Linked DNA regions of Struthio camelus. The protein of the gene in region 3 purifies or fractionates together with the protein of the main gene of each other region. This does not show direct contact. Links are inferred from orthologs where the notes say so. Each region holds a gene or a part of one and is shown on either strand. Other genes may lie near its edges.

Evidence for each region.
Region 1: the proteins of DNAJC7 (region 3) and VPS13C purify together in Homo sapiens (co-immunoprecipitation; 4 studies listed by BioGRID and IntAct, counting the BioPlex papers as one, with this or other methods). This does not show direct contact. The link is inferred for Struthio camelus from reciprocal best matches to the Homo sapiens genes DNAJC7 and VPS13C.
Region 2: the proteins of DNAJC7 (region 3) and IFT122 purify together in Homo sapiens (co-immunoprecipitation; 3 studies listed by BioGRID and IntAct, counting the BioPlex papers as one, with this or other methods). This does not show direct contact. The link is inferred for Struthio camelus from reciprocal best matches to the Homo sapiens genes DNAJC7 and IFT122.
Region 4: the proteins of DNAJC7 (region 3) and MLF2 purify together in Homo sapiens (affinity purification with mass spectrometry; 3 studies listed by BioGRID and IntAct, with this or other methods). This does not show direct contact. The link is inferred for Struthio camelus from reciprocal best matches to the Homo sapiens genes DNAJC7 and MLF2.

What each region holds. Positions count from the first base shown.
Region 1 is NC_090953.1:20,608,643-20,616,271, forward strand, and holds the start of VPS13C (intermembrane lipid transfer protein VPS13C), read right to left. Parts: upstream 3,010-7,629; 5' UTR 2,942-3,009; coding exon 2,842-2,941; intron 2,807-2,841; exon of another isoform or gene 2,684-2,806; intron 1,563-2,683; coding exon 1,519-1,562; intron 1-1,518. UniProt on the Homo sapiens protein: Mediates the transfer of lipids between membranes at organelle contact sites. Necessary for proper mitochondrial function and maintenance of mitochondrial transmembrane potential.
Region 2 is NC_090955.1:806,641-813,880, forward strand, and holds the start of IFT122 (intraflagellar transport protein 122 homolog), read right to left. Parts: upstream 3,008-7,240; 5' UTR 2,999-3,007; coding exon 2,847-2,998; intron 2,629-2,846; coding exon 2,562-2,628; intron 1,627-2,561; coding exon 1,542-1,626; intron 695-1,541; coding exon 616-694; intron 1-615. Other genes in the region: MBD4 (methyl-CpG-binding domain protein 4), read left to right, coding at 3,233-3,402, 3,520-4,391, 5,028-5,102, 5,758-5,892, 6,139-6,288, 6,944-7,047. UniProt on the Homo sapiens protein: As a component of the IFT complex A (IFT-A), a complex required for retrograde ciliary transport and entry into cilia of G protein-coupled receptors (GPCRs), it is required in ciliogenesis and ciliary protein trafficking.
Region 3 is NC_090966.1:7,448,741-7,456,390, forward strand, and holds the start of DNAJC7 (dnaJ homolog subfamily C member 7), read right to left. Parts: upstream 3,018-7,650; 5' UTR 2,944-3,017; coding exon 2,861-2,943; intron 1-2,860. Other genes in the region: NKIRAS2 (NF-kappa-B inhibitor-interacting Ras-like protein 2), read left to right, coding at 4,353-4,446, 4,715-4,956, 5,597-5,836. UniProt on the Homo sapiens protein: Acts as a co-chaperone regulating the molecular chaperones HSP70 and HSP90 in folding of steroid receptors, such as the glucocorticoid receptor and the progesterone receptor.
Region 4 is NC_090942.1:90,710,614-90,718,089, reverse strand, and holds the start of MLF2 (myeloid leukemia factor 2), read right to left. Parts: upstream 3,005-7,476; 5' UTR 2,645-3,004; intron 1,667-2,644; exon of another isoform or gene 1,527-1,666; intron 1,309-1,526; coding exon of another isoform or gene 1,261-1,308; exon of another isoform or gene 693-1,260; intron 1-692. Other genes in the region: PTMS (parathymosin), read left to right, coding at 1,261-1,308, 3,472-3,543, 4,331-4,412, 4,568-4,632, 5,238-5,288.

The DNA.
Region 1 (7,629 bases), on a different chromosome or scaffold from region 3:
AGATTTGACAGATTTCCATTTTAATGAAATGGTCTTTTACTACTTCTAAAGGGAAAAATGGACGCAGCAAAATACAATTCTAAAAGCAACTGCCATTTATTCCTCTCTTCCTTTTCTTAAGGGCTTTGCTTTTTTTACATTTGAAAAATATTCAACGTCAACCTTCCTTTATTTACTTTTGCTTTGAAAGCCACCACACAGGTATAAAGCAGTTGAAAACTCTCCTTATTTACAGTTCCAGAGTTGAAAAGCTAGTCGCATAAGTCAGTACTTGAAATAAGTGAAGTCAGAACTGGCAGAATTATAATCAATCCTGCTCTCACAACAAGAAGGATAGATAGCTAGACAAAGTAGATACCACTTTCCTTCTTCCTTCCTTTTATAACTACCAGATTACAAAGGTATTTGTACAGAGTTGTGAAACAGAACGAAGCAGAACAAAGTTATCAATGATGGGTGAAACAAGTGAACCAGAACAACGAAGAAAATCAATTATTAGGTCAAGCAAAAATCCAACATATTTTCTATTCACGAGAAAGTGCAAAATCTCTTTAGTGAAAGCAGAAGCACAGTAAAGATTGCAGTAAGATTGTCTCAGCAGTACAGCCATTCATTAACTCCATTAAAGAATATAAAAAAGAAAAAAATCAACAAATACTTTGTCAGATAAGAATTTGTGTACTTAATGCAGGCTGCTTCTTGTCCTTCCCCCATTCCATCACTCCTATTCTAAAAGGAACAGGATGGCGCATTGAATGTTCACAGAGTACACATCTTTCTTACAAATGTTTTCTTTGCCAGTTTTAAACAATCATCAACTTATGCAGGAAGTCAGAAACATAAGCCTCAACCAGCCTCGAAGGAGGAACCTTTTCTCCTTTAATGCCCACATCAGCACCTGAGAAAAGCAGTCTTTCAAAAACCTTTAGTTATATCAATCCATTTGCAGGAGGGAGGCAGGCCTCAGAAACCCATTTATTCAAACAAAGTTGCAAAGAACATGTAGGCTTATGCACAACCATATGACCTAATAAGGTGTTCAAAGACACACAAGCGTCTTCTGCATGGACCTGCAAGTGGTAATGGAAATATGATAATACAGTAGCAGTCACAGCAGAAATTAAACCCTCTACGTGTTACAGAAAGACTGGCATGGTAACAGAGAGATATCAAAATATCTTACTTAAAGTTTTATTATTTCAAGCCTCAAATACTAGGACAGGCTACGTACGCGTGCGCACATCAGTAACAACTGAAAATTTACTTCAAAATCTATGGCTAATTTTTAAGTCACATATTTAAGACAGAAGCACATTTATGATTTAACCCACAGCTTTTTTTTCTTCCTCTATTCCAATGTCCTGAATAAAATCAGAGGAAGTTAACTAAGGACTTTTTTACTAGTTCTTGTAAGCAAGGCACACTGTGTAGCAAGGACCTACAGTAAATAGTATTTTACCTTATGACTTAGTCCTTGGATCCAAAAAAAAAAAAATTTAAAAATTGTAAAATACTTACTAATGCATTCTCCTTTATCTGTAAATTGTCCAGTGCCACATTACCTATATGGAAGAAAAACAGAAGTACAGATTAAGTGATTTAAACTATAGTATCACGCAAGTTGGAGAAAGGAACGCAGATACAACCATCCCAAGAACACAAGGGTAGAATCAAAAATCAAATGTCCAGTTACTGGATAGCATAAAATGTTAAAGAGTAACATAATAAATAGCTAATTTATGAATCACTAACACTCATTATTGAGGCAAAATCCAACAGTGGGAGAGATTATGGAAATATCACTAATTTATACTTCTGCATGTTTCTACATCATGAACTATGCCTAATAATACCTTTCTTACTATCATCCTCATTATTCACTTTGTGTTATGAATGATAATCGCGGTTCTCTCAAGGTAGTGTAGACTAGGATGGTGCTATCTCTCACTTGTGTTGATTTTACATAGCGGGAAGAACAGCATGAACCATAAAACCACAAAGATGTAAGGCACTTGCATGGTTGTTTTCCTAAACGCAGCAACTTTTCCTGAAATAGGCAACGTAACAAGAATTCCAAAGGGAACGTGGGCACAGGGAATTATACGTGATGAAGAACGCACACCAACTATACCTCCGGGTGCTTTAACACAAGACTCCTTAGTGATATGTTCTGCTCATAATACTGGTATTTTGAATAACTTGTAAATGTTAAAAACATGAATTTTTACTACCATGGCAACATCAGGAAGATGAGGAAAATCTCATCGCTCATGTATCTAAGACAGCCAGATTTCCCTAGACAGCGATTCAGCTATTTCTCGCTTGCCTGAAGAGCAACAAACTTAAACGTTGAACGCGTTGACTGGGAAGAGCCATGCCACGCTACTGCAGGAGAGCCGCTCCGTTAACCACACACGACTTCGGGGAAGTCACCTGCGCCTGGCGCCCCTCCGCCCCGCCCCTCATTTTGGGGAAGAAGGAGCAAAATTCCCCCAAGGGTCGCCAAGGCCCGGCCGCCCCGCAGCCGCCGGCGCCCGGCTCCCCCAGGGGCGGCCCCCGGCCTCGAGGCGGCGCAACGGCCGCCCGCCCCCCGCGGGGGGCCGCGCCCCGCCCCGCCGCCCGCCCCTCACCCGCTCGCCCCTCGCCGGCGGCGGCGGGAGGAGCGCAGCCCCGACGGCCCGCCGCCCCTCGGGGGCGGGAGCAGCCCCCTCCGCGGACCCGCCGCCGACGAGACCCGCTCCCCGCCGCGGCGCCAGCAGCCGCCCAGCCGGTGGCAGCGGCCTCGCCTCGCCGGCCCTCAGCACAGGCAGGCGGGGGAGGGGGGGGTGGGGGGCTCCTTACCCCCCCATATGCCCAGCTTGAGCTGGGACTTGTTGAGGTTCTCCACATAGTCGCCCAGGAAGCGGTTCAGCAGATCCGCCACCACCGACTCCAGCACCATGGCGGAGGCGGTGGGGCAGGCGCGCGGGGGCGGCGGCGGCGGCGGGCGCGTCCCCGGCCCCGGCCCCGGCAGTCAGGTGACGGGGGGCGGGGCGCGCTGCCGCCCCGCGGGTGCCGCGCCCCGGCGGCCCCGCCCCCCCGCGCCGCGGCGGGAGCGCGCCGCGGCCCGGCGACCGTTGGCCGTGTGGCGCGGGGGTGGCGCCCGCCGCCCGCCATCTTGTTCCTAGCGAGGGCGGCGATCGCCAGCCCCGGCAAAACCGAGGAAACCGTGCCTCCTGCTGGAGCCCGCATCTCCGCTTCTCACCAGCCCCTCGGAAAATGTATTTATTTTTAACTGGAGGCTTACGGGACACTGACAGTGAAAGGCCCCACGACCCGATACCGGTCAGTCAGGTGATGCCTGTCCAAAGCCGCGTTGGCATTAGAGATAAAGCCTAAGGGCTTGTAGAGACAACTTTGAAGCTTTAAGCAGGTAGTGTCCTCTTTCATATTCACCAGTTTATTTAGAAAATATATATGTTCTTATTACCGCCTCTAGGATGAACATCTATTAGCTTCCCTTTTTGGTTGGAATTAATTTGAACCTGGCTAGTTCTTACAGCTAGTATGACAACTATAACTTCTGTTAACGCAGTCATTCAAGTAACATGGAAACTCAGAGAGGAAACGGACGGGCACAAGAAGACAACTCTAGGGAGTTAATAGCACTGCAGAGAAAATGGATGATGGCGTGCTGCTCTGTTCGATGAATCTGCGGGTATTAATGCTGATGCTGCAATGGGTTTCAAGTTTCAGGGGGGCTGTTCACATAAAGTCATTTTGAACTCATGGAAGAACAGTGCTTTAAAGCTCAAAATAACACATTCACTCTAAAAATGTGTTCCAAAAAAAAGGCAAATTAGTATTAGCAATAGGATGCCGGCCTCCAGAATATATAAAAATACATCAAGACCACATGAACACGATCAGAAGACTCTTAACAGTGTCAGAGAAATATGCTTTAAACAACATACAGTTAAATCGTGGAGCTTAGTGCTAGGAGATGTTATGAAACCACAGCTAGTCATGGAAAAGATTTCAGTAAATGCCTAAAGGAAAGGTCCGTTAGTGGCTGTCACCCCTCTGGTTGCGTTACATCCTCCGTTTCATACTGGCAAGCTCCCTCTTGCTGTAGTTGAGGCAAATCCAAAGAGCTCTGCTTGGGTGTCCCATAAATTTACTTGTGCGTTAGACACATACCCAAGACCACCCTCATCCACATGCTGATTGATCAAACACATTTTTCAGTTTGTTAAATATATGACAAAGCATAAAGTGTCCAGAACACCCAAGCAACACAAGACTCCGTTTTTTAGCAGCTTGTTTCATGTTCTAATAGAAAAATGCCACAGCAGTACCACATTAGTCTACATATCTATGCCTGCCTTTTCTGCAAGTGTTTTTCAGCATCAAAGATTCAATGCATAAGACAGACCCTTACATCACTAAGACCAAAGTTCAGGCCTACCATGGCTGATAAACAGGATGGTCTAGATACAGCTTTGGCCAGGAAAGTCCTTTCGCTGAATGCTGGAGAAGCATGCAAATACTGGCAAGGGTCATTAGTGGAAAGCGTCCGCTTCCCACAGCCTCCTGTGGGCACCTGCTGCCGGATCTCTAAAATTTAAAGGGTCAGTGCAGAGCTGGAAGCCTTTTCCCTCTCTCAGTCTATGGCAGTTCTTGCACAAGTGCTGTCAAATGCTTTACTCGTACTCACTACTGCACATGTTGCATGCTAGCCCTTTTGCCAGCCTGTTCTGTGCACAAATGTGGATAAATTGGCTTTATGTGGAGTTAGTGCCATTTTTGTTCCTTCTGATTTAAAGGACCAAAAATCTGTCCCTGAACCTATAGCCTCAATACGTTGTGATATCTAACACAGTTGCAATGATAGATTTTTCCCTAGTGGATGGTATTGAAATAATTGAAGACTATCAGAGAATGAGGCGTGCTTTAAAGGATTTTAAATAAAGCTATACAAAAAACCCAGCATCAACAAAAACCTCTCTAACAGCTCGTTAAGTTGGGAACGGATGGGGTACACTGGAACTGCGAATACCAGCTACCAACCCATACAGCTTCTGTGTGACTGCAGAATTCAGCGCACCACTGGGTAATACCAGTTGGTTACTAAAAAAAGTCTTAATTGTTGGTGATTATTGCCAATTGAGCAGTCTTTTGTCCCAGTAAATGGGAATGATGCAACAGGAAGAGACTGGCCATTATGAAGAGTTACTAAGCTTTCAAGTCAGAACGAAGAGCTGAAAAACAACAAAAACAACGTCATCAGCACAAAGCTCTTTATTTTTCTTCTTGCACAAGGAACTGCCTGCCCCTGAGGAGCCGTATGTTTTTGTGTCTCTGCAGCTAAAGCTCTACAGATTGTCTTCAACGTATATTCTAGGTAGTGACTTACCAGCAATGTCACTGTCACACGTAGACACTTAGGTTGTAAGATTCATTTCTTTCAATTAGCAGAAGAGCTTGCACTGACTCCTGCAGAAGTGTTTCCTGTGATACCACTAAGGCTGAACAACAGGGCATTAATTTTATTGAACATGTGCTTTTGTGCTATTATTTCCTGCCTTTCCTGTGCCAAATTCACATCTCAGCTTTTTTTAACCATAAATAATATGTTGATACAATTTATCTTCCATAGGGCCTTAAAAGTTCCTTGTTACGTAATTAATTTTCTGCATAAGGTAGTGTTTGAAATAGAGGGGGGAGTTTTAGCTAAAAGTACTGAAATCTTATTTTATAATATATTTGGCTTCAGACAGGGAGACAAACTGCTAGGAAGAAGGGAGACTATAGGAAGTGCCAAATACTTTGAGTAGGAATGATAATCTTAACAGACTGGAGCAAAACTAACAAATATAAACTCTTGCAAACACAATAATCGCTAAGCTAATTGTTGAAGGCCTTTAGAGTCCATGTGGATGGCTCCTGTGTTCTTAGCATGACAACTGCAAGTTCATTGCTCATCTGATTTCCAACTGCCTTGTCATATTAGCACTGCAGTCTGAGATAATGATGGCTTTCTAATTTATATTTCTTTTATTTTTTTACTTCTTTTGTGCAGTGTTGGCTGTTCAAATCCTGTCATATCATATGGAAGCAGCAGTGCAAGAAAGCAAGACGGGGAACTGTAAATAGAGCTTTCTGATGCCGTTCTGTTAGGTAACAAACTTTCACTTGTGGTTTTTTGAGTAAAGCTTTAAAAGAACTTAACTTACTATGCTTTTGAATATACAGACTGTAGCTGAATAACTGAGGTTTGAGCAAAAGTATTAGCTAATCAGTGGCAGCTCATGTTCTCAGCGTATGTAAATATAAGAGCAATAATGCACATCGATGGTGTGGAATGTCCTCTGTAACAATTACACAACCTAGCCACCACGACATATCCATTTCTCCTTCACTTTTCAGAAGTCATAAGGACTTCTGCACAGCAAATAACAAAGACCAGTTTATCACAACAACAGAATGTATCAGAAAACGTATGTGGTTATGTATGGTTAAATAATTTCCTACTAACCAAAATGTTTACCTACATAAAATATTTAAAGAACTCCATGATTTTTGAAAATCACCTGGTTATAGAATAAATTTGAGTAAATTCAATTTCTGCTACTCTTTACAGACATGCTTTCCCAACAAATAGAAATATATCACATAGTGGATCATAAAATTGCTCCCAAAGTAAAGTGATTTCATCTGGAAAAGAACACCAGCAAGCCAAGTCTGTGTCAAAATACGTTGTTTTAGTAAAACCTGAACAGATTTTTAAAAACGAAGGAAAATTGAATGGAATTAAGGACGGAGAAATTATGAAGAAAGGAGTTTTAATAGATATTTTGTCCACCATAGGTGCAGTTACTTGTAAGTACTGAGATATTGCTTGTAAGTAAAGTTACATATTTTTGCACATTTACTACCAAACAATCCTTTGGTAGTCTTCCTGAGCAGATAGGGTCCCTCTCAAAAATAGCATTAATGCACCTCCTGTCTGCTGGTAGGTACCACTCCTTGTGTGTTCTCAATGGAAAGGGTAAACAATCCAAAAAGAAAAAAAAACCATATACTGTTACATGACATATGAGTTCTGTATCCAGAAGAATACATACAGGACAAACAGAAATGTGGATGTTTGCTTACCATTCATTGAATACACAGACAATGTTCATTCACCTCAGAGGAAAACCCATGCGTGCTGTCCATTTTTTCTAAACACTGTCGTTGAATAGACATGACTGGTTTCATACATATGAATGGAAACAGTAGTTTCACTCAGCTGAAAGTCATCAAAACAGCATGTTCTGGTTGATGTCTAGAGGCTCATTCTATATTATTGTAGCACTTTATCAAATATAAAGATTTGATGATTCCATTCCTGCATGATAATTTCCTAAACAGTAAATATAAATACAACACTGTAACACTTAACTTTGTGGTGGTGCTATTTATATGGCAAGATTTGTTCAAATCTCTAGGTAAACTTTTACAAAAATGAAGCATAAAAAAAATGGAAATCTGCATTGTAAGTATCAGTTTAAAGTTTCCATTTTATGAATAGAAATATGCATTGTAACAACAAATTTTTGTTTGGTGTCGCCTGTTACACAATCTTTCATGCATAAATAATAATCA
Region 2 (7,240 bases), on a different chromosome or scaffold from region 3:
AAATCAATAATAAAATTTTTAAAAAGGTCTTTAAATGGAGGATTTGCTGTGTTTCATCAAGATTAGCTAAAAATATAGGTAGACAGTGGTTTGTGAAGTGTTGTGAAATGTGATTACAGCTTATAGCCAAATTCTAAAATAAGTATGATTGTGTATACTCCTAACTTCAGCAATAATTGTACACATAGCCAGAAACAGATTTTGATGACATAGCTTGAGAGACGACATATAAAACAAAGCCAAGGGGAAAGCTCCAGTCCTCATCTTTAATATAATTGTAGTTCAAAGACCAAACTAATGTGGTTTACTACACAAGATCAGAATCATACTGTTTCATTCCCTCTCAATCTATACAGACATTCCCCACTTCTCTGCCAGCCCTCTAAATTCATCATACCTTTATCTAGACTTCCCGTGCTCTTTCATGCCTTTAATTACTTTCCCTACTTTTCAGATACTTTGCTCTTCTTCTCTTCCCTCTCCTTATTCCCTACTAGCCTTTTCTCCAACCCTAGTTAATCTTCTTCCACTTCTAACATCGCTTACTCCTTGACAGCGGACATTCATGGCCAAAGTCTGTACTTGACAGGCACGGAATCGAAAGGAATCACTTACGTGTATTTCAGAATTCCTTCTAACTTTGAAGTCCAAATTATCACACTTTTATCCGCTGAACCAGATGCAAACCGTTTGCCTAGGAATTAAACATAATTTAAATCTCACACATTTAGGAATCACTTTCATTTCAAATATCCAACCAAAGAGAGAGCAAGAAGTTCTTGAACTTCACAAGGCTCAAGTAATAAAGGGCCTAACATTGCAAGTGTCGTCACGTGGCTGTGCTTCTCAGTCTGTGTGAACGGCCTTACTTTGTTATTCCCTCAGAGAGCTCATCGCCAAACCTGGCAATGCAAGTAGCCAGTCTGCCCAGTGCTGTCAGTCACAGGCTGAAGACTTACCTTACCAGTCCCAAGAGGAAAATGGTGCATTTTCACAAGTATAACGTAAATACGTTAGCACCTTTTGAAAGCACAGTATTTGACAGGAAGTCCTTACAGTCTGCACAGAATGAGAGTCAGAGACAACGAAAGATTTAGAAGCAAAGTGAGCTCTGTAGTGAGCGCAGCAACATATGAAGGATCAGACAATTGAGAAGCTCTGGGAGAGAGGAACTTGTGAAAAAAAATCAGAGGCAGGAAGACTGCTAGAAAGAGGGCCTTCTGGGGTAAGCCTTCTCCTCATGCTACCCCCACAAGTATCAATTTAACTACAGCTGAAGTAGAAGGGGAAGGGAAGTAGGGACTACAGTTCTTGGATTAACATAACAGGTAACCTTAAATTATAGACGTGAAAACGTAGTACTTCCTTCTGAGTGTAGCATTTGTAATGCATTTCAAAATCCCAATAATAAAAAGATCATACATGTTCAAAACATGATCACTGAAACCACCTTGATTACTTTACTTATCAATTTTCAACAACAAAGGGAAGAGATCGTGCTCTACAAAGTAGAATAACAAAACCTCAGAACTGATATTTACCATCTTTAGCATAAGCCACACAGTATACAGTGTCCTTATGTCCTTTCAAAGGCTGGATTAAGGTCCCATCGGAAGTATCATATACCTATAAAAACAAAAATGAACATAAAACCTCAGCCTTCCAATGAGTTGCACAGGACAAGGGCCTAAAGTTACCAAAAAAACCCAACAAGATTATGCACTTTTTTTGTGCTTGCTTTTATGCATGCAATCCATGTCATTAGTTAGTTAGGACAGGGCAAGAGAAGACATTTTAAAATGTAAGAGGACCCTTCCTTGAAGTAATGCTTCTCCTTCAACACTCCGAAGGAACGAATACTGAGCACTAGTCAATTACACGTACAAGAGACATCATGTTTGACCTGCTTGCTTTACATCATCCAATTCTTTCCCTATTTGAGAATTATTTTTAAACTTAACAAATTACTGGAAAGGACTATCATTACATACACTCTTCTGTGAACAGTGAAACTAATAAAGCCTGCTCCTGCGACTCTAAATTACACCTCTGGAAGCGTGACATCCATCCACCCCCACGTGAGAGCTTTGCAAGACACCATACGAGAACCTTGGTCCCAAGCTGGGTTAGCAGCAGGCAAGCAGGCACGGGGTGCTGGGTAAAGCTCTAGTTGAATCTTCTCTCAAAGCAGGGACGTTAAGTGGGGCTTCTTTCCTCTTTTCAGAGGGATTTCCATGAAACTGGCAACACCATAGTATTTGTATACCTTGGCGACTGTGGGAAGTTTAGCTAAGAGTCAACGCGTTCAAAACCTCTGGGCGAGGTAAGGAAGGACAAGATGACACAAGCAGCGTAAAGCTCATTACCTCTGGAAATGAAGCTAAAAAAACGGTAAGAAACATCAAATAGCTTTGAAATACTTTACAGCTAGAGCATATGAAAACATGCATACGTTGGGCTGGCGCAGGAGGAGTTAGAGGATTTTTGGCAGGTTCATACATTCGTAAGTCAAAATCACAGCCCCGTGGCTGCAACCGCAAGAGGAAAGAGAGGTGTCCTACCAGCAGCCTGTTGCCAGCAGCAATTATCAACTGGGTCCCGTCCGGCTTGAACGCAAGATCATAAATACTAAAGAAAAACAAAGCAAATCCACCCACGTGAGCTGACAGACCTTTAAATACCTGAAGAGCCAAAACACCCTTCCATCGATTTTCAACGGAACTTTAAAGACTTCGCACAACAACCCCCTCCCCCCCCGCCAGCTCCGGGGTACACCGGACTGCCGAGCAGAGGCCCGAGGGCACACAACCGGCGGCGGCGGCCCCCGCACGGGCCGGGGCTCTTACCACTGCTCGGCCTTGTCGCGCCAGGTGAGCGCGGCCCGCATGGCGCCCGTTTGCACCGCCACCGGCGGGCGCCCCTGGCAACGCGCATGCGCAGGGCGCCGCTGGGCGATGAGGCGGCACTGCGCAGGCGCCCACGGGGGGCGTGGCCGCATGCGCGCCGTGTGTGTGTGGGGGGGGGAGGCTGAGGGCCGTCACGTGGCCGGAGGCGCCTGCGTCATGGCGGCACCGGAAGGGGGGAGCGGGCGGCGGGCGCGTTGCCATGGCAGCGGGCGGGCTCCCCGAGCTCCTCCCCCGGCTCCGGTGGCGGGCGGGACGTCGCCGGGGCTGGTGATGTCACCAGGCGGTGACGTCACGCGGGTGCCGGCGGGAAGGCGGAGGGGGCGGCGATGGCGGCGGCGGCGGGCCCCGGCCCCGGCCCCGGCCCCGGCCGCCAGCGGAGCCCCCCGAGCGGGGCCGCGGGCGGCGGCGGCGGCGGGGCGCCGCGCGGGTGGGAGAGGCTGGTGACGCAGCGGCGGTCGGGAAGAACAGCGGGGAAGTACGACGTGTGTTTTGTCAGGTAGGGCGGGCGGTGGTGGTGGTGGTGGTTCGTTTTTATAACAAGGTAGTTGTTGAAGCGAAGAGCAAGAGGCTGAAAAAGCCATCTCTCATCATTTACTTTTCTTTAATACTGCAGTCCCGAAGGACATAAGCTAAGATCAAAAGGTGCGCTTGTGAATTATTTTCGTAAAACTGGAGAGACAACTCTAAAAGCAGAAGATTTTGATTTTACTGCGCCATCTCGGAGCAGCACCCGTTCAGGGGCCAAAAGATGCAGCTCAAAAGCTGTGGGAGCTGGTTTACAGGAGGAGGATCGTCAGAGTCAAGCACAGGACCTTAGTGTACAGAATGGTGAAGAAGATAAAATTCATAAGGTTCAAACTGGAAATGAACGGCTGGGAGATGTTGCTGCTACAACCACTTGCAGTAGTAAGGATTTGGTCGTGAAAGAAGTAAAACCAGAGGACTGTTTGAAAACCAAAAAAAAGGGGGCAGTTGGAAAAAGTGTTCAGAGTAAGAAAACTAGAAAGAGCTCAGAAAAGAAGAATGCAGATAATACCCGAACCAAAAGACAGAGAAAAGTATGTAACAAACAAGAAACTGAGTGCATTCAGAACAAGAAATTCTGCAGAAAGAAGGACATAGGTGTCCCTAACAGTCAAGGGAGAGATGACCACAACACAGACCCTGTGGATGCAGGAAAAAGAAAAACTCTTTTAACAGAGGAATTACTGATTTCTGGATCACAGTCAGACATACAGCTAGGATCAGTCACAGCTCCCTTGGAAAAGGAGTTGAAGAGCCTAGCTGAGCTGGAGTGCATAGAGAAAAGTTTTAATGAAGCATCTTCTGCAAAGTCTGAGGAGAAGACTGATGAACTGGAAATAGGGAAAGAGACAGATCAAGTGAATCTAGATAACCAGGATTTTGAATCCAACACTGAAACGGATGTTAACATTTTGCAGCCTTGTGACAAGAAAATCCTCACAGAAGTTAAAATGCTGCAAGGTACATATATGTTTTTGAGTAGAGTATTCTAACATTTTGCTAGCGGTATTCCTGAACTTTAGCAGAAAAGTATTCTGTTTCAGATGGAGCTGCTTTGTGCTTGGACATACTTCATCCATCCAGATGAAGAGATCTGTATGTGCTCCTGTGGGAATCTCTCATTTCTTTATCCTGCAGCATTTAACTTAATGTAGATTTATTCACAACTGGAACTTACGCTGTTGGTCTCTTCAGCTTTATGATATAATATAATAATGATCATTACCTTCCTTGCATTTGCTCTTTTAATGCTGCTGTACTGGTCAGTTTTTGATACATGAAACAACTTAGTTTTAGTTTGTTTCATATGACAGTAGGTTGTGGAGAACATTTAATCTTTGACTGTAGCTGAACATGTTTCCTCAGGCTGTTGCAAAGTAATGGTTTCTCTTAAGAAGATACTTCATAGAGCTGAAATACTGAAGGACTGGGCTGAATCCAAAGTGCATTTACATTCTACACACCTACTCGAAAGCCTTGTATTCCCATCACAACATAAAGAGAAAATAGCATATGAAACCTAAAAGCCAAATATTTTATGTTTTTTTTTCTTTCTAATTGTGACAGAAATAACGCTAAAGTATTATTTCTTTACAGAAGAATCTATTCCACGAACACAGGTGGAAAAGAGGAAAACAAGTCCGTATTTTTCAAGTAAATGCTGTAAAGAAGGTATAATATTCCTTAGGGAAAGAAATTCTGTTTTATGCAGGGAGGAATACGGTGGCTTAAGATCAAGTAATGTTACAGAAAATTTCGTGCAGTTTTAGACTAGTTAAAGTATAGCCATGCTCTGTGGCATTGGAGAGCTAGGCTTAGTGCACAAGTGCTGATCTTGTCCCATTTTAAACCTTGGTGGTTTGTATCTTGCAAACAACCATTATGCCTAATATAAAATGACTCAGTAGCTCTTTCAGTAACTATAAGAGGATGGACTGAGTGGGCTTTGGGAAGGTTCTTTGTAGACCACAGAGGTGTTTTTCCTGTCAAGGGGAAACCCTGTACTCTGTGGCTACAGCTCTGTACTTACAGAAGAAGGTGAAGTTAGCTGTGAAGGGCCCTTCTTCTCCGAAAGGATGTGTACCCTTGAAACACAGAGCCACAGATACAGGCAGCCTTCGCTCTTACTGTAGACTATGCCATGGACACACAGTCCTTGCAGTGTTGTAAAGGAGAGCGAGTGAATTGCTAGTGCTCCATCCACATACAGTGCTCCCACAAAGATGAATCTGCTCCAAAAGTTCTTTCTTTTTCTAATTATTTTCTTAAATAGATTAATCCGTCCTTTACTGCCCAATAACTTTTCCCATATTGCCTTTGTGTACAGCTCCGAGCCCACCTAGAAGGAAGGCCTTCAGAAAATGGACTCCTCCACGTTCTCCTTTTAACTTGGTCCAAGAAACTCTTTTCCATGATCCATGGAAACTCCTCATTGCAACTATATTTCTCAATAAGACCTCAGGTAAACAGAGTAATACGATTTTGTGTTGGGTAAGTGTTTGGGGTGCTGTTGTCATAGGGTCAGAACAGCTGCCAAATTTTTTATGGCATTAATGAAAGATGAAATGCATTTCAGCTTGTGTTAATGTAAAAAAACCCAAAAAGTAAATCCTAAGTCAGCAAAAGTTCACTTCTAAAAACATGCACAGATAACCACAAAAGAGAATTACCTGCACAGTCTTCTGTTCACAGTGATTTCTTTGGCTAGGTAAGGCGGCAATTCCTGTGCTCTGGGAGTTCCTTAAGAAATATCCTTCTCCTGAAATAACGAGAACTGCAGACTGGAAAGAAATGTCAGAGTTGCTCAGACCTCTCGGCCTCTATGAACTCAGAGCAAAAACTATAATCAAGTTTTCAGGTAGATTTTCCTGAGTATGGTTGTTGAATGGTCTAAATTATATTAGCAAAGAAACAGCATTGTTTTCAAACAGTGCTCTGTGGCCTTCAGTTTGGCAAATATTGGTGTTGTCTTATTTTATGCAGCTTTGGGATACGTTGGTCTTGTCTGTGTAAAGCTGCCCGTCCTATTGCCTTAACTGAGAATAAAATAACATACATAATGAGTTCTGCAAGAGACCTTCGTTGAGGAGAATTGTTTGAGTGGAAAAAGTTAACGGGTATCTCCAAGACTGGTTTTGTGTTTTCCAACACTATGATAAGATGGCTCTGCTTTGGTTCATATCAGATGACCTCCAGAAGACCATTCCTGCCTAAATTTTTCTATATACTTTCTGTACTTCATACTTAAAATAAAAGCATTCCTCTGTGGATTCCGAGGGGAGAGATTTATTTAAAATTCACCCACAGTGATTTGTTTGAAAGATGTTTTGTGATGGACCCAAGGGGACTCTTCACCTACTTTGGCTAGGAAACAGCTAAAACTTGTAGTGTTTTTCATTTAAAATGTTCTAAAACAGGTTTGGGACCATAACAGAGAATCAGGATTTTGCCTAGACTTGCTTTCTGTGATCCGCTTGTCTGTACGTAGTGAAGTATGTGACTATATGTTCTAGATGAGTATCTGACCAAGCAGTGGAGGTACCCCATTGAACTGCACGGGATTGGAAAATACGGAAACGACTCTTACAGAATCTTCTGTGTCAATGAATGGAAAGAGGTATGTGATGCTGTCATTCTTGAAGGGCTTGATGCAAAACATGCTCAAAGCAGAGGCAGTCTGTCCTTCGGCTTCATTGGACTTTTACAGATGTAATCAGTAATCACGTGAATTAAATAAAATTATAGCAAATTTTCATCTTCAATTAATTGAATTTACAGAATGTACCTTTTAAGAGTCTCATCCTGTAAAT
Region 3 (7,650 bases):
AGCCAACGGAGCCACAGAAGTTAAGCAATTTACTTTAGCCAAGATGGGCCAAAACAGAGAAAAGCACAAGATGTTCCTGACCTCAAGAAAATCTGCTCTGGCTGACAGGCACTGGTGTTTAAGGTCTATGCTTTCTAAGCAACCAAAAAGAGAATAACTGCAAGTAAAATAATCACTTCCTACCTGGAATAAGTCTCCATCAGATGACACAAACACTTCTCTTCTAATGAGATAAAAAAGTGAGTATCTCAACAACAGAAAATAAATACTGTGAAAGCATCTACAAAAGAATGGAGGGACTGAAAGTTAACAACCATGAACTGTGGTACTGGCCTTATCACATCAAGAAAACCAAGATCATCTAGGCTGTCTCTGGTCTTCATAGTTGAGGCTTCCCCTCAGAGCAGGGCAAGGACCAAATCCTGCCCAAGAATTCTTCTGTGTCTGCACCTGTTCAACCTTTCCTCTGAAGACCGTCCTATTTGTGACTGACTTCCAGTGCTCATCACTTCTGCAATGAAACTTGGGAAGGAGGACAGAATGCTAATGTTAGAGGGCACTATAATAAGATGACGGTGCCTTTAGCATGATTTTTACACTTGGATACTTTTTAACACTTCAAACACCCCACTTAAATAGCCTGGAGGAAGAAATGATTTACACACAAACAGGGCTTTCCCAACTTTATAGGCCATGCAATTTGTCGGTAGTCTACGCACAGCATCCAAGCGCTTCTTCAGAAGCATCTAATTTAACTAACTCTTTAGTATGACTTCACCAGGAAGTCAGCATATTTCCAGTTCTGCTCCCTAAGCCTTCTAACTCTAACATAAATAAGCAGCACAAAACACCTCAGGCCACCAATATTACTTTGAAAATAGCATTCCTCAGAGGACACTTTCAGTTCTGTCTTCTCCTTATATTTCTATCAACCGAATAATTCTCTGGAGCAATTGCCATGCCTTTTACAGAAATAGTTCTCTCCTCCCAATTCCCCAGGAGACAGCAAACTGCCAGTTTTAAATGCTGCAGAATGAGCAGAGTTTCCTAGACACTGGACTTCCCCATTTCATTCCCTGCAGAGGCTGCAACACTCAGCTGCACGTGGGAACAGGATCACTTGCTCTTGAAAAGAAAATCTGTAGCTAGAAGAAGAGTTGGAATCCTCACCCTTCCCAGCCCCCAAATCACTGTCTATTCCCCCAGCAAGTTGTACCAGATCACTTCAGAAATTAACCAGTTAGAGGAACTTTAATAGCTGCTTGGAGGAGCTCTTTTAACTACATCACCATTTTCAGAATATGACCCTACCCCGATATAGGCCTGCCACTGACATTTTTCCCCAGAAAGGCAAGGCAGAGTAAAACTTGCTCCAAATGTCATTAAAAGATTTTCAGTCGTAACAGCCCGTCACAGATGAGGCAATTTGGCATGATATACTGCTCAGAAAACAGATATAGGAGAAATGAAGAACACTCAAACCTGGGAGTTTGAAGCTACGAAGAACTGCCCTTCCCCACCAGTTTAATCCTTGCCTCCTAATCCTCCACGATAGGAGAGAGCTTTCTTCAGAAACCAGCCAGCATGGCTTCCAGACAGTAAAAATAGCGTATGTATTTCAGGGACATTCAAAATCTGATCGACTGAAGACAGTCTACTCCACAACACACAGACAGAGAAAAATCCTTACTCTAAACCTGGTATATACCCTATAGAGGCCATAAGGATTAGCGTGAGATGCGCAGCCAAAGCATCCTGAACTGAAACACCACCTGCAGGAAGCACAGCCCTTCACCGTATGTGCTATATCATGGCCCTGGGCTGGACTACAGACCATCCCTGCAGAGCCCTGGGTCTGAGCAGCCAGCTCTGTGGAACCAAGAGATTCATGGCTAAAGGTGCCGCTGCGCCCTTTGCCCTTACGATCTGCTCCGAGCTGTAGCAAACCCCTCTCCAGTGAAACATCACTGCTCTGCTTAACACCTCTCATGCCGTGAGCTCCTTAGCACCCAAGCGCACACCGAATCCCACCCTGCTCTTGCCCGGTGGGTGCTGCCCACTGCAGAGCACCAGTTACGCCCACAGCGATATGCCTGGCACCGGCAGCGCTCCCGGAGCCGGCAGAGACCTCCCAGGCCCAGTCCAGCCCCCAGCAGGCTCCCAGTGACGGGAGCGCCGCCGAAGGCCCCGCAGCTCCCTCCCGCCGAGGTCCCCAGCCTCTCCGTCCTGCCACCCCGCTCCCCACAGGGGCGCGCAGCCGGCCCCCGTCCTACCGCCCCCGGGGCTGCCCCAGGCCCCCAGCCCCAGCCAGGCTCTCCCATACCTTGTCTTCTCTCCGACAGGGCTGCCCCACGGCTCCCCCCTGCCCCCCTGTAGGGCTGCCCCATACCCTGACCCCAAACCGGCCGGGCGGCCCCAAGGCTTCCTCAGATCCTGCCCCAAATCTTGCTACGCTGCCCCAAGGCTCCCCCAGACCCTAAATCTTGCAGCGCTACCCCCAAGATCCCCCAATACCCTACCCCAAGGCGGCCGGGCGGCCCCGAGGCCCCCCCCAGCCCCCCAAGGCGGCCGGGCGGCCCCTCCCCAGCCCCCCAAGCCCGCCGGGCGGCCCCGAGGCCCCCCCGCAGCCCCCCGGGCGGCCCCGAGGGCCCCCAGCGCCACCCTCCCTCTCGCAGAGCTGCCCCCGACCCCAGACCCCCGGCCCGACCCTGCCGAGCTGCCTCCCGGCTCCCCCCGCCGGGCCCGCGGCCGCCTCCCCCAGCCGGCGACCCCCCGGCCCCGGGAGCGGGGCCCGGTCGCCGCCCCGGCGGGAAGGACGACGGCCCGCGGCCTGCCCGCGCGGCGCCGGGAGCGGTGCTACCTGCGCGCCTCCTCGTCGCTCTCCAACGCGCCGGGCCCCTCGGGCGCCGCCATGATCACATCGCACTCGGCCGCCGCCGCCATCTTACCGCCAGGCCGGGCGCGGGGGGCGGGCGGGGGGAGCGGGCGGGAGGCGGGCGCGGAGCCGGAAGGGGCGGGGGCTTCCGCTGACAACGACGGCGACACAAGAGGGGCGCCGCTCGCGGCCCGGGCCGGGTCGGGGCAGCGCCGCCCTGGGGTCCTCCCGCCGCGGCGGCGGGGCGGCGGCGGGGCGGGGGGGGCGGCGCGGGGCCCGGCCGGGTCAGCCGCGGGCAGCGGGGCGGCTCATGGCCCGGCCCGGGGGGGGGGCGCAGCCGCCGCCGCGGCCTCCAGAGGGCGCCGCGGCCGCGCCGGGTCCGCCGCGCCCCTTCCGCCGCCGCCGCCGCCGCGCAGGTGAGGCCCCGCCGGTGCTGCCGCCGCCGCCCGGTGCTGCCCGGCGCGGCGCCTCCGCCGGCTCCCCCCGGCTGGCCGCGGGCTCGGCCGTGTCCCCACCCCGGGCCCGGCATCCCCTCTCGGGGGGGGCGGAAACGCCCCGTAGGGGCCCGCGCGTGCCCCCGTGGGTCCTCGTGTCCTCGTCCCCCCCCTCCCTCCGTGGGGCCGGGTGCCCCCCACGGGGCTATGTGTCCCCGCCGTGCCCCCGCGTGGGGCCGGGTGCCCCCCTCTGTGCCCCCCACGGGGCTGTGTGTCCCCTTCGTGCCCCCCCGTGGGTTGGGTTCCCTCTCCATCCCCCCCCCACGGAGCTGTGTGCCCCCTCCGTGTCCCCCCCCCCACGGGACCGAGTACCCCCTTCGTGCCCCCCCGTTGGGGCTGTGTATCCCCGCCGTGCCCCCCCGTGGGGCCGGGTGCCCTCTCCACCCCCCCCCACAGGGCCGTGTGCCCCTTCTGTGTCCCCCGCCGTGGCCATGTGTCCCCCCAGTGGGGCTGGATGCCCCCCCTTGCCCCCCCCAGGGCCATGTGTCCCTGCCGTGCCCCCCCGGTGGAGCCGGGTGCCCCCTCTCTGCCCCCCCAGTGGGGTCACGTGCCCCTCCCGTGCCCCCCACGGAGCCGTGTGCCCCCCCGGTGGGGCCAGATGCCAGATGCCCCCCCATGCCCCCCCCAGTGGGGCTGGGTGCCCCCTCTGTGTCCCCCCCGGTAGGGCCATGTGTCCCCTCTATGCCCCCCCCCAATTGGGGCTGTGTACCCGCTCTATGCCCCCCACGGGACCGTGTGTCCCCCTTTTCCCCCCACAGGGCCGTGTGCCCCCTCCGTGTCCCCTGCCGCAGCCACGTGCCCCCCGCTGGGGCCGGGTGCCCTCTCCATCCCCCCCACGGGGCCGGGTGCCCCCCCACGGGGCCACACGCCCTCTTCGTGCCCCGTGCGGGGCTGTGCGCCCCCGCCGTGCCCCTCTGACCGCCGTGTTTCGGCAGGGGGGGGTCCCGCCAGCCCTGGCCCTCTGCAGGGCGCCCTGAGCCGGCATGGGGAAGAGCTGCAAGGTGGTTGTGTGCGGACAGGCCTCCGTCGGGAAGACGTCTATCCTGGAGCAGCTGCTCTACGGCAACCATGTTGTCGGTGCGTACAGGCTGGTGGGGGAGCCTGGAAGGGGCCTGCCGGCGTTCCCGGTTGCTCTGCGAAGCCCACGCGGAGGAGACGGCTGTGAGACAGCCCTGCGCTGCGCCTGCGCGGGGGCGGGCAGGGCCTGGCACCGTCGGGCCAGAAACCCCCCCCCCCAAACATGCAGGCAGCAGGGGAGGAGGAGAGGTGGCCGCCCAGCAGGACAGCGGTGGGGACGGCGCCGTGGCTGCCTTCCCTGTCTCACCCCAGCCCACCTCGCTTGCAGGTTCTGAGATGATCGAGACCCAGGAGGACATTTACGTGGGCTCCATCGAGACAGACCGCGGGGTGCGCGAGCAGGTGCGCTTTTACGACACGCGGGGCCTGCGGGACGGCCTGGAGCTTCCCAAGCATTGCTTCTCCTGCACTGATGGCTACGTGCTCGTCTATAGCACCGACAGCAAGGAATCCTTCAAGCGGGTGGAGCTCCTCAAGAAGGAGATTGACAAGTCCAAAGACAAGAAAGAGGTGAGTAACCACGATCTCCCCAAGGGAATGGGGCTGCAGAGCAGGGTCTGCTCCCCTTGTTCACCAGTTCTCTTCCAGAGACTCTCTCCTCACCTCTGGCTTGTCACAGGATGGTGACAAGGTCCTGTTCCGTAAGACCCTCAACTGTAATTGGTACCATCCTGGGATGCTTTCGGGGAGAGTATTTGCTCTGTCACAATGATCATTCCACAGCCATCGAGCAGAAAGGCTCTGCATGGAAGAAGGTTCACACCTCTCTTGCGAAGGGGGACAGGGCTTGCGTGTCTGCTGCTTTGGTTATTTCACACGGGGCCTTCAGTTTCCAGGGCTGTTGACTTGAGAGCTCTCTTCTTCCTGCCCTTCTGGACTGGACTCTTCTGCAGGCCACCAGCGTGCTGAGCATGCACGAGCTCAACAGGCCCTTCCGCTTTGGGGCTGGTCTGAGATACACAGCCTGAACATGATGGGGAAGCTGCCGGAAAGGAGCACTTGGAAACATGTCTTTTTAAAGGCCTTAGCATAGAGGGGAATTTAGCAGCAGGCCTGGGCCTGGCACTGAGGGTATCAAGGCGGAGCCAGGCAGTACCGGTCGACTGTTTGTTACCTTCAGGGATTCTTCTCACCTTTATTTTTTGAACAGGTCACCATTGTGGTTTTGGGTAACAAGTGTGACCTGCAGGAGCAGCGTCGAGTGGACCACGACGCCGCCCAGCACTGGGCCAAGGGCGAGAAGGTGAAGCTGTGGGAGGTGTCCGTGGCTGACCGGCGCACGCTGATTGAGCCGTTCATCTACCTGGCCAGTAAGATGACGCAGCCACAAAGCAAGTCTGCCTTTCCCCTGAGTCGCAAGAACAAGGGCAGTGGCTCCATGGATGGCTGAGCCTTGTCCTTCCCTTCCTCTTCATTGCCACCTCCTCTCCCTCACCTCCCTCTTTTCCCTGCATTCACCTCCTGCTGAGCCTGTTTGGCATCACGGAGCCAGCGGGAAGCATGGTGGCAGGAGGAACGGGCTTCCCAGGGCTGGGGACAGTCTTTGAGGATGAGAGAGGTGACCCATCTGCCTGGGCTGGGACAGGGACTGCTCTTATCACTGCCCCCCTCCTGCAGACGTTTGAGGTACTGCAGGGAAGCCAGGATTCACCACCGAGTGACGCTCCTCTCCTCGCAGGCCTCGTCTCCTGCCCAGGCGCAGGCTGGCAGACCTGGGGGATGCATGCTGCTCGAGGGAGGCACAGCATGGGGCTAGCTGTCACGTTGGGATCAGCTCCACGGCTGAGCGCTGCCAGGCCAGAGGAAACTAGTTCCCTGGCTGGCGAGCTGCTCTGTTTTTGTATCATGCTGGTACCGTGTGAGAAGAGTCTCTCTGCTGGCCGCGCATCCCGTGTGGTGTGGCTGCTCTCAGAGCAGCGCCCCCTCGTACTACCCCGGCTGGCTCTGCGGCGCTGTAGCTTTGGCCCAGTATATTACCCCTTCCCAGCAGCGTCCTCTGCTCCTTTATGTACGGAAGCGTTCAGGCCTTGGTCAAGTCGTCTGCAAGATGTACGTCCTGCCCCACCTGCATGGCGCAGAGCAGGGCGAGGTGCTGTCGCTGAGGGCAGGGTCAGGCCCCACAACTCATGGTGCCTACATCCACCACGCTGCAGCTCCGCTCTTGCTAAGTGCAGCCTCGGTCCTAGCCTGGGAGACACTGGAACTGTGCTTAGCCCACAACAATCCGACGCTTAGGGCTGTGGGAGCTCAAACCACGCGTCTGTCACGGTGCTGGCTCTCCTCTCAGAACCACAAGACAAGGGGAACGGTTTCCCGCACACGTTCCTTTTGGCTAGTCTGGATCTAGGCAAAGATGACGAGAAAGCCCTGGCTTGTTTATACTTGTTCCTTTTATTTACTGAGTAACACAATAAAGCGATGAGATTTGATTATCAAAATATTTTCCTTTTTTTTCCCCAACAGTTATAGTACATCAAAAAATATACAATGAACATTACAGGAGGGGTACTGGCCAAGTCCCTAGAGTCTGTTTATTTCATTTTTGTGGGTTGGTGGATTTTTTTTTTTTTTGGAATCAAACTGTTCACATCACTCCGAGGTTATGTACAGAGGGGCACACGTTATTGAGCACTATGGACTATGCCCTACTACCTAGTACAGCATATGCTAAGTCAAAGGCAGTAAATGCTTTGGATAGCACAGGAGCAGGGAGGGTCTCTGGCGGCAGAGGGGGAGGCGACAGGGACTGTGTTCTTACACAGCTCGTTGCAGTATTATTGTTATTCGAAGGAATGGCTTTCAAGGGGTTAAAGTGCCAAGTGTAGGAGTGTATTAGGACTCCACTGGTTGGGGGGGGGGGGGGGAGGTGGTGGGAGCAGCCACTGCTGGCTCCAGCACAGGCTTTTTAGAACAGAATGCAAGGGAACTCCCCACCAGGGCCTGCCGGCTCTTGCAGGCTGGAGTATGGCCACAGCCGGCTGCTCCCCGGTTCCCGGCGCTCCTGAGGCTGGCGTGTGCATGCAGGAGGGGACGTGCCGCCCTTCTGCGGTGGGACCAGGCCGAGAGGCTGACCGGGGAGGGTACGGTGAGAAGAGTAGGGGACGAGGCTGCCAGGAGCAGCGCGAGGGCTGGAGCTGGGGTGACCCACGGGCTGCTTGGCATTAAGACACTGTCGGAGCCGCGTTTCCCCCCCCCGCGACCCGG
Region 4 (7,476 bases), on a different chromosome or scaffold from region 3:
CGTTGGGGCGGCGGGAGGAGCCGCCGGCTGGGAGCGATTCCAGAGGGAGGGCAGGCAGCTGGAGTGGAAAATTCCAGGCGGGAGGAAGCATGAGCGAGACCGTCGCCAGCTCTGCCCTCCCACACAGCCCCGCTGCGACACGCCGCCGCCCGGCCCGCGCCGCGCCGCAGCACCTCCTGCTGGGCACGGCCCGGGCTGGCCGCCGCCCGCTGGCCCCCTCCGGTTCCTCGCGGGCGAGGTCCGGCCAGAAGGAGGCGGGAATTTCCCCCCCCCCCCACCCCCGGCGAGGCCGGGACTGGCAGGCGTTTCGAGGCAGGGCGCCCCCCTTCCTCCTCGCCCTCCTCCACCCCGCAGAGGCGGCCGGTGGGCCGCCGTGTAGGGGATGAGCACGCAGGGAGCCGCTTGGGGGGCCCCGTCTCCTCCGTTAGCCGGAGACACGGCTAAGCCGTGCGACGGCAACCCCGCACCGTGCCGCAGAGACACCGGGTCCAAGGCAGAGGGCTCAGTTTTCCCAGCGGCAGGGCCCGGCCACCGCTCGTGCTGGCTATGAGCAGCAAAGGGCTGCCCGGAGCCCTGTGCTGAGCGGTGGGGGCGGGAGTCAACGGTTCGGAGGCCAAACGAGGGCAGGACACCCACGCTTCACGCCCCTACCCGGCGTGCGGCCTCCACGGGCCGGGCGGCCGCCGCGCAGTGCCCGCACCGACGGGCGTCGGCTCGGTCCCCGCTGCTTCTTCGGCGGCTCCTCGGTGCTCGTGCGGCAGCCGGCCCGCGCCACCGCCCGCGGGACGCTGCCGAGCCGTCCCCGCTCCGCCGGGCAAGGGGGAGGGCAGAGAGGCGAGCTGCCCGGGGCAGCGGCTCCCGTCTGAAGCCCCTCTCCGCCCCCGACCACCGCGCTGCTGCCGCCCGCTGCCGGGCGCTTGCCAAGCGCCGAGCGCACATTGTTCTCGGCATTCCGCTCTTTCCAGCAGCCCTTCTCTCCTCCCTCTCTCCTCCCTCCCAGTCCCTCTCCCCTCCCTTCCCCAAGTCCCTCCTTCCCTCGTCACCGAGTGGTGTATAAATCCCCTTCTCCGGCGTATCCCCCATCACGGGAGACCCTGGTACTTTGGCCCCCTGGGCGGGAGGTGCAGCCTCTGGCCTTTGGATCGCCGGGACTTTGCGCTCCCTCCTGGACCCCTCGCTCTCGGCCCCGCTCACTCTCCACAGGGGTCTCTGGACGTTTCCGACTGGCCTCTTCCCTTCGCCTCTCGCTCCCGTACCAGGATGTCGGAAAAACGCGTAGAGGAGGCGCCGGCGGAGCTGAGCGCCAAGGTGAGACCCTCGGCATCCCTCCCGCCAGCCCGCTCGCCTCCCCCCGTCCCGCTCGCCGACGCGGGAAGCGCCCCGCGCGCAGGCACCGGGACGGGCAGAGCACCGCGATCCTCCCGACTTATCTGCGGCACACGGTCCCCTCGCCGCCTCCGCGCCCGCTGCCCGCCGCTCTGCCCCCGCCAGGCTCCAAGGCGCTGCCCTTTTCCTGCCCTCCTCACCTCGCTGACCGCTCACCGGGCTGCTCCGCGCCCGCTCGCCGCCGCCGCGGGGCGGGGGGGAGGGAGGCGGCGCGCGGCCCCGCGCGCTCGGAGATGCCCGGCCAGCAGGGAGCGCGCGCGGCTCTGCGCGGGGCGCGAGTGCCCGCGCGCGGGGCCGTGCGTGGCGTGGGGGCGGCGCGGTTCCGCTCCGCTCTGCTCGGCGGCCGCCTGCGGGCCGCGTCGCGGGGGGGGGGGGGCGGGGGGGGGAAGTCATAGGCGAGCGGTCCCAAATGTAGGCGAAAGAGCAGCCGGGCGGACCCTCCCTCTGCCCCCCGCGCGTCGCGCTGGCGTCAGCGACGCCGGGGCGCTCGTCAGGGCTAGGAGTTGCCCCCCTCGGAGGCGTCTTTGCGTCCCGCGCGGCGGTTCTGGCAGACCCACTAGGAGAGGTTAATGGAGTTGAGCGGAGAAATTGAGCGGGGAAGAGCGCGGACAGGAGGCGTGGGGGCAGGGCTGGGCCGGGAGAATGCAGGGAACAAATGAGACGGCGGTGACTTACGATCGTCGGACAGACCTGCGTTGTTACTGCATTTGGACAAAGAAAAGCCCTAAATCGTAGAAGACTAAAAAGCCACCGGAAGCCCAGCTGCTGCGCTGTTGCAAGGATCAAAGACTGGCTGTAGTTCCTTGCACTCATTGCGAGCTTAGGCAGACGCTCACCTCCCGAAAAGGAGTGGGAAGGATGAATGACAAAGATCCTAAATAACATGTGCCATGTGGCTTTGCGGTTTTTTACTACTTAGCAGCCCGAATAACAGAGTATTCTTCTCAAATCCCTGGCGGCAACAGGAGCATAGGATAAATGTCAGGGCAACGGCTGATCCTCTGCCTCGTCTTCTCCAGAAACGCTTTTTGCGCTGCAGAAACGGGAGCTGTGGAGACCCCCTCGGGCTTCTGTGCTAGTTAAGGCGAGATTTCTTTCTTTGGTCATTGCCGCAGGGCTCCTCGGCATCCCATTCAGTGTCCCAGCTGAGGGGTGCCAAGCGCCTGGAGTGGGAGGGATGGCTTGGGAGCCCTTCAGTCCAGTCTCTATCCTCTTCCCTCCCAGCCCGGTCAGCCTGCCATGCCCTTCGCGTACCTACCGATAGACAGCTCTGGCAGTCCGAGCTTCGATGAGGCTGGGAGACTAGGACCCTCTGAGTGTGTCCCCAGAACTTGACCTCTTTCGGCAGAGCTTAGAAACCACTGCAAACTCTTGAGGGTTTCGGAGGCTGGGCAGTTACTGTGCCAGAAGGCTCGGAGGCCCCTAACTGCACGCACTGGACACCGGCAGCTCCAGGTGCGATTCGGAGGGGCGGAGTGCGCGTCCGTTGTGCGGCAGCCAATGCAGCGAACTTTTATGCCACCCTGACTGCGGGGAGAAAGGACACTGTAAGCCCTCCAAAACACCTTGCGGCCAGGCGGCAGGCCGGTGGGCTGCGGCGCAGCCCCGGCGCCGGGCGGCCGCGGGCTGCGGCCGGGGGCGGGGCGCGGGGCGGGGACGGGGCCGGGGCCGGGCGGCCGTTGGGCTCGCGGCGGGCAGCGGCCGTTGGGGAGCCCCTAGCGGGCGGCGGGGGTAGGGCTGGAAGGAGGGCCGGCTCGTTCCTCCGCCGCGCGCTCGGCACCTCCGGCCTCACACCAGAGCCTGCGTTTGAGGGGAAAACTTCCCTGTTTTAGTGTAACTTAAGAGTTTCTCGGGTTTTTTCCCGAATAAAATGCGAATACTGGCGTGTATTTGCAGCTTTTCTATGTCGCTGTCTGCTCTTCTGCTGATCCGGGAGGGGAGATTTAATGCCTAATTTACATTTTCTCTACTCATCGTTATTTTGTATCTCCTTTCTAAACGGCCCCTGTTTAAAACTGAGCATTCCAGTCTTTTTTTATTTCCTGCCACTGACCACTGGAATGATTTTTCTCATCTTGCGTATAGGAAATGAAAGAAAAGAAGGAAAAACTAGAGGAGAAAACAGTCCACAAAGAAAAGAAGAAGGAGATAGTAGAGGTGAGGCCCCATGTAGCCCTTCTGTTGGGCATATCTTTAGAGGAGTCTGGGAGGATTTTATAAGGTGGTTAGTCTGGGAACTTCAGGTTGTAAGTAGGAAGGGAATAATGGGGATCAATCAAAAAGAGAGGGCAGGCCAGTGGAGCTCATAAGGGAGAAGGCTCAAATGAAGAATGAGCTGTGGGATAAATGTGGAAGATGAGCCTTGAAGGATTCAGGCAGCGTAGCCGCTGTGGCCCAGTGGAAGAAAGATCAGAGAGGAGAATGAAGACAAGGGCTGGTAGGAGTTAGGGGGAGGTGGCATTGGGAACAGAGTCTTACACCTACTCAGAGCACTCTGAGGTGCGTAAGGAGCACAAGCTGAGGGAGATGGAGAGAGTAACAGTGAGGAGATGCAGATTGTTGAAGGTCAGAAGGAATCTGGAAGCAGGTGCGTTACACATGGGTAACCAGAGAGATGTTCTGATTGTTGGGAAGGGATTTCAGCAGCTTGTTGGGATTTAAACTTGTGGAAGTCAAGGAAGCTAGGGCTGGTGGGAAAGGATTGGAGGGGTTGGTTTTGTAAGGGATGGAGGCTGGGAGGAGGGTTTCAGCTGTGTGAGACAGCTGGGATAGTGGAAGTGACAGGGTCTGAATAACAGTGCAGGGATCACTTACTTGATGCGCATCCAACACTGGAGTCTGACATAGCGGGAGCTGTGGGGATTATACTTGTGCTTGCAGCAAAGACAGCATGGGAATATTAGCCTGATGCCAATTTTTGCTCTGGCCAATTTGTTTTACTCAGGATGAGGAAAATGGAGCTGAAGAGGATGAGGAAGAGAATCCTGAGGATGTGGATGAAGATGAAGGTGGTGATGAGGATGAAGGTGGGAATGATCAGCTTGGGGGAAATGGGAGGAATCAGGTTATGGGAATATGAAATATCATAGAGGCGAATTCCCTCTCCAAGCCTTCTGACTGAGATTAGATTCGCCTAAAAGCTACCTCAGTTAACTTGTGATTTCCCCTTGTTTGTGCTTAGATGGAGATGAGAATGGGCAAGAGCAGGATGGACATGCAGAAAAACGATCCGCAGAGGAAGAAGAGGTGTGTGATAGTCTGGGAGTAATGACACTGAGAAGGAACTAGGCTACCTGCTGTGAGCTGATGAAATCCATGTGGATGCTATTGCTGAGCATCTCAAATCAGCCTCAGGTCTCATTGCTGCTTCACTGGGTCAACAAACCTGATGTGGCAGGGGGAAAACAGAACCTCACAGACCCTTTGTGGAACTGATCCAGGTTCTTCCCCCCAGCAGTCAAGGTGCTTTAGATTGTGCTGGATGATGATCCTTCAAAGAGCAGTGATTTCTGTGCTTCATGCCAGAAGCTGGATGCCAGATGGACTTTTAAGGGTTGATCCCAGGGTCTGTCTGAGGTGGTGTGAGTCTGGGCTTATATATCTGCTGAAACTAACACAGCAGGTATCCCTACAAATGGAGCTGTGCACGTCTTAACCATTAGCATCAGCAGAACAGCTGAGTGTCAGGCAGTCAAAGGTGCTGTAAAGAAGAGTGGATTTAGGGTAGGCCAAACGAATATTTCCATACGGAGGAAAGAGCAGCAGTAAGAATCTCATGGAGAAATTATGTGCCTTGGTGTGGTGACTGTTTGATGGTAACACCTTTTTTTCCTTCTCTTTCTCCTAAATAGGATGAAGTGGATCCAAAGAGACAGAAGACAGAAAATGGATCTTCAGCTTGAGTCCTCCCCTCCCATCTCTTCTGTTCCGTCCATCTCTCCTCCTCCATTCCAGCCCATGCTTGCACTGTCCATTAGCCTCTGGCTTCACACAGTCTCAGATGAGGAAAGATTAGAAATGCTCTCGGACAGGGAAGACAGCAGTTTCCTTCCCACCTGAAGATCTAGCCCATCTATGACATTCCCCAGCTGAAATTACTCCAGTCCCTCACATCCTTTCAACTGTACCCCACTTAAAAATGATCCTTTCCCTTCAAGAATCTCATCTTTTCCTGTCTCCCAGTAAGTAACCTTACCAGGCCCGTATGCCAAACTCTTCACATGGCAAACACCTCTCATTCTGTTTCACTTGTCCTCTCTTTTCACTAACATGACCGGCTTCTGCTTCTAAGACCTGCTGTCTCAAATATCCTCCCTGGATCCAGGAGGCTGTGGGCACAGATCTCATGGTGCATTTTCCAGTCCTAGGTCTCCTTTCATCTTCTTTCCCGTTGAACCCTGAGAGACAAAGAGAAAGAATATTACAAGCAAATAATGTTTCTATTAAACCACACACAGAGACAGAATTTATTTTAACCTTTTTTTTTTTTAAGTTTACATGACAGACAGCAAGCTGGCCCTCGTGAATTTTTTCAGAAGATAAAGGTTGTTTTTATATATGAATTTCATCTGAACTGCATATTTTTTTTAATTTGGAGGCTTTTTTAAAACAAATCAAGAGATAAACAATTAATTGAGGACCAAACTTTGATTTCCATTTTTCCCTTCAGATTCTCTTGTGACCATTTTTTTGTAAATTAAAGGCAATACAGCCACAGCATTTTCTATGGCACAAACATCACGAGGATGATAGATATAAATATATATATTGTTTTCAACTAGCACTGTAAATAAAAGCATTTAAAAATATTTCAAACAGCTCGTGTAGAAAGGTGTGTCTATAAGTCTTAGGTTTTGTTTTGATCTGATGAGAAGTCAATTTGCAGAAGAACAATAGCATATATGTTGGCCTGACCAGCAGCTCGTGAAAAGAGGAACCTAAGTTTAGTCAAAAGACCTGTGCTAATTGTTTGAATTGCCCCTGCATACCGGAGAACAGTGTGCGTGGGTTCTCTTCCCTCCCTCTGTGCATTGCTCCATCTGGCAAGCATTTACAATGAGGACATGCCACAAACATGAGATAAAACTCCAGGCTTATCGTGAAGCTCTCAAAACCAGACCTCTGCACCAGATGGTAGAGGTTCAGAAAGGGAACCTCATCTGTGGCTGGTGGGCATAAGCAAGTACTGCTCTTAACTTTATGCTATTCTACAGTCTTCCTGCTCTCACTCTCATCAACCATGACCCATGTAGTATCAGTCATGCAGAACAACAGGAAGGTGTTTTAAGAAGCAAGAGCTTCAGTTCTTTGTCCCATCAGCTGCCTGGGAGAGATGAAACATTTGTCTTTTATCCTCGGAGACCTTTGAAGGAGCTACTGTTTTCTCTTCCTTTTTTAACTTTATTCTGAAAATCAAGTAATTGAGCTACCAAGACTGGGAGCTGTAAATCAGGTCTTTTGTCCGAGCATCAGCGGCTTGGTGTCTGTCCAACTACAGCAACAGATCAGATACTTGAAGCACAAACAGTTGCTAGCTTCCATAAATGGCAAGTGTCAATTGTTTATTTTTCTCCAAATGACCACATCTGACCAAGGCGTTCTCTGCCCTGCTTCATGGCTGACTCCAGGAAGCGGAGGGACACAAGCTTGATGGAAATGGCACGGCTAGTGCGAAGCCGCTTCTCACCTACAAACACCTCTGGGGTATGCACGCCTGCCTGGTGGGTTCTCTCTGCACTGTGCGGTGTGGGTGCGCTACTGCCTCGGCACACATTTGCTGGTGGAGTCTCTACTGGGACTGGGCCTGTTTCAGCCCAGAGGTCGCTGCAGTCCTGGTGTTCCTGTCCCAGCCCCTTCACTTCTTCGCAGCTCCACAGCCTGGAGCAGATTTGGGCCCTTCTCCTCCAGGCAAGGCTGGGTCTGGCTCAGACAGGCCCCTCCAGTTCTGGGAGATCCTTGTCTCCAGCTGGAACCATGCGTCGTTGGGTGCTGCACTTGGGCCTTTGCAGTGAAGCTGTCACAGCCTCTCACTGTTGCCCAGTGTCAGCTGGAGGCCATGTTCACGGTGGCCCTGTCCTGCTTCCACAGAGC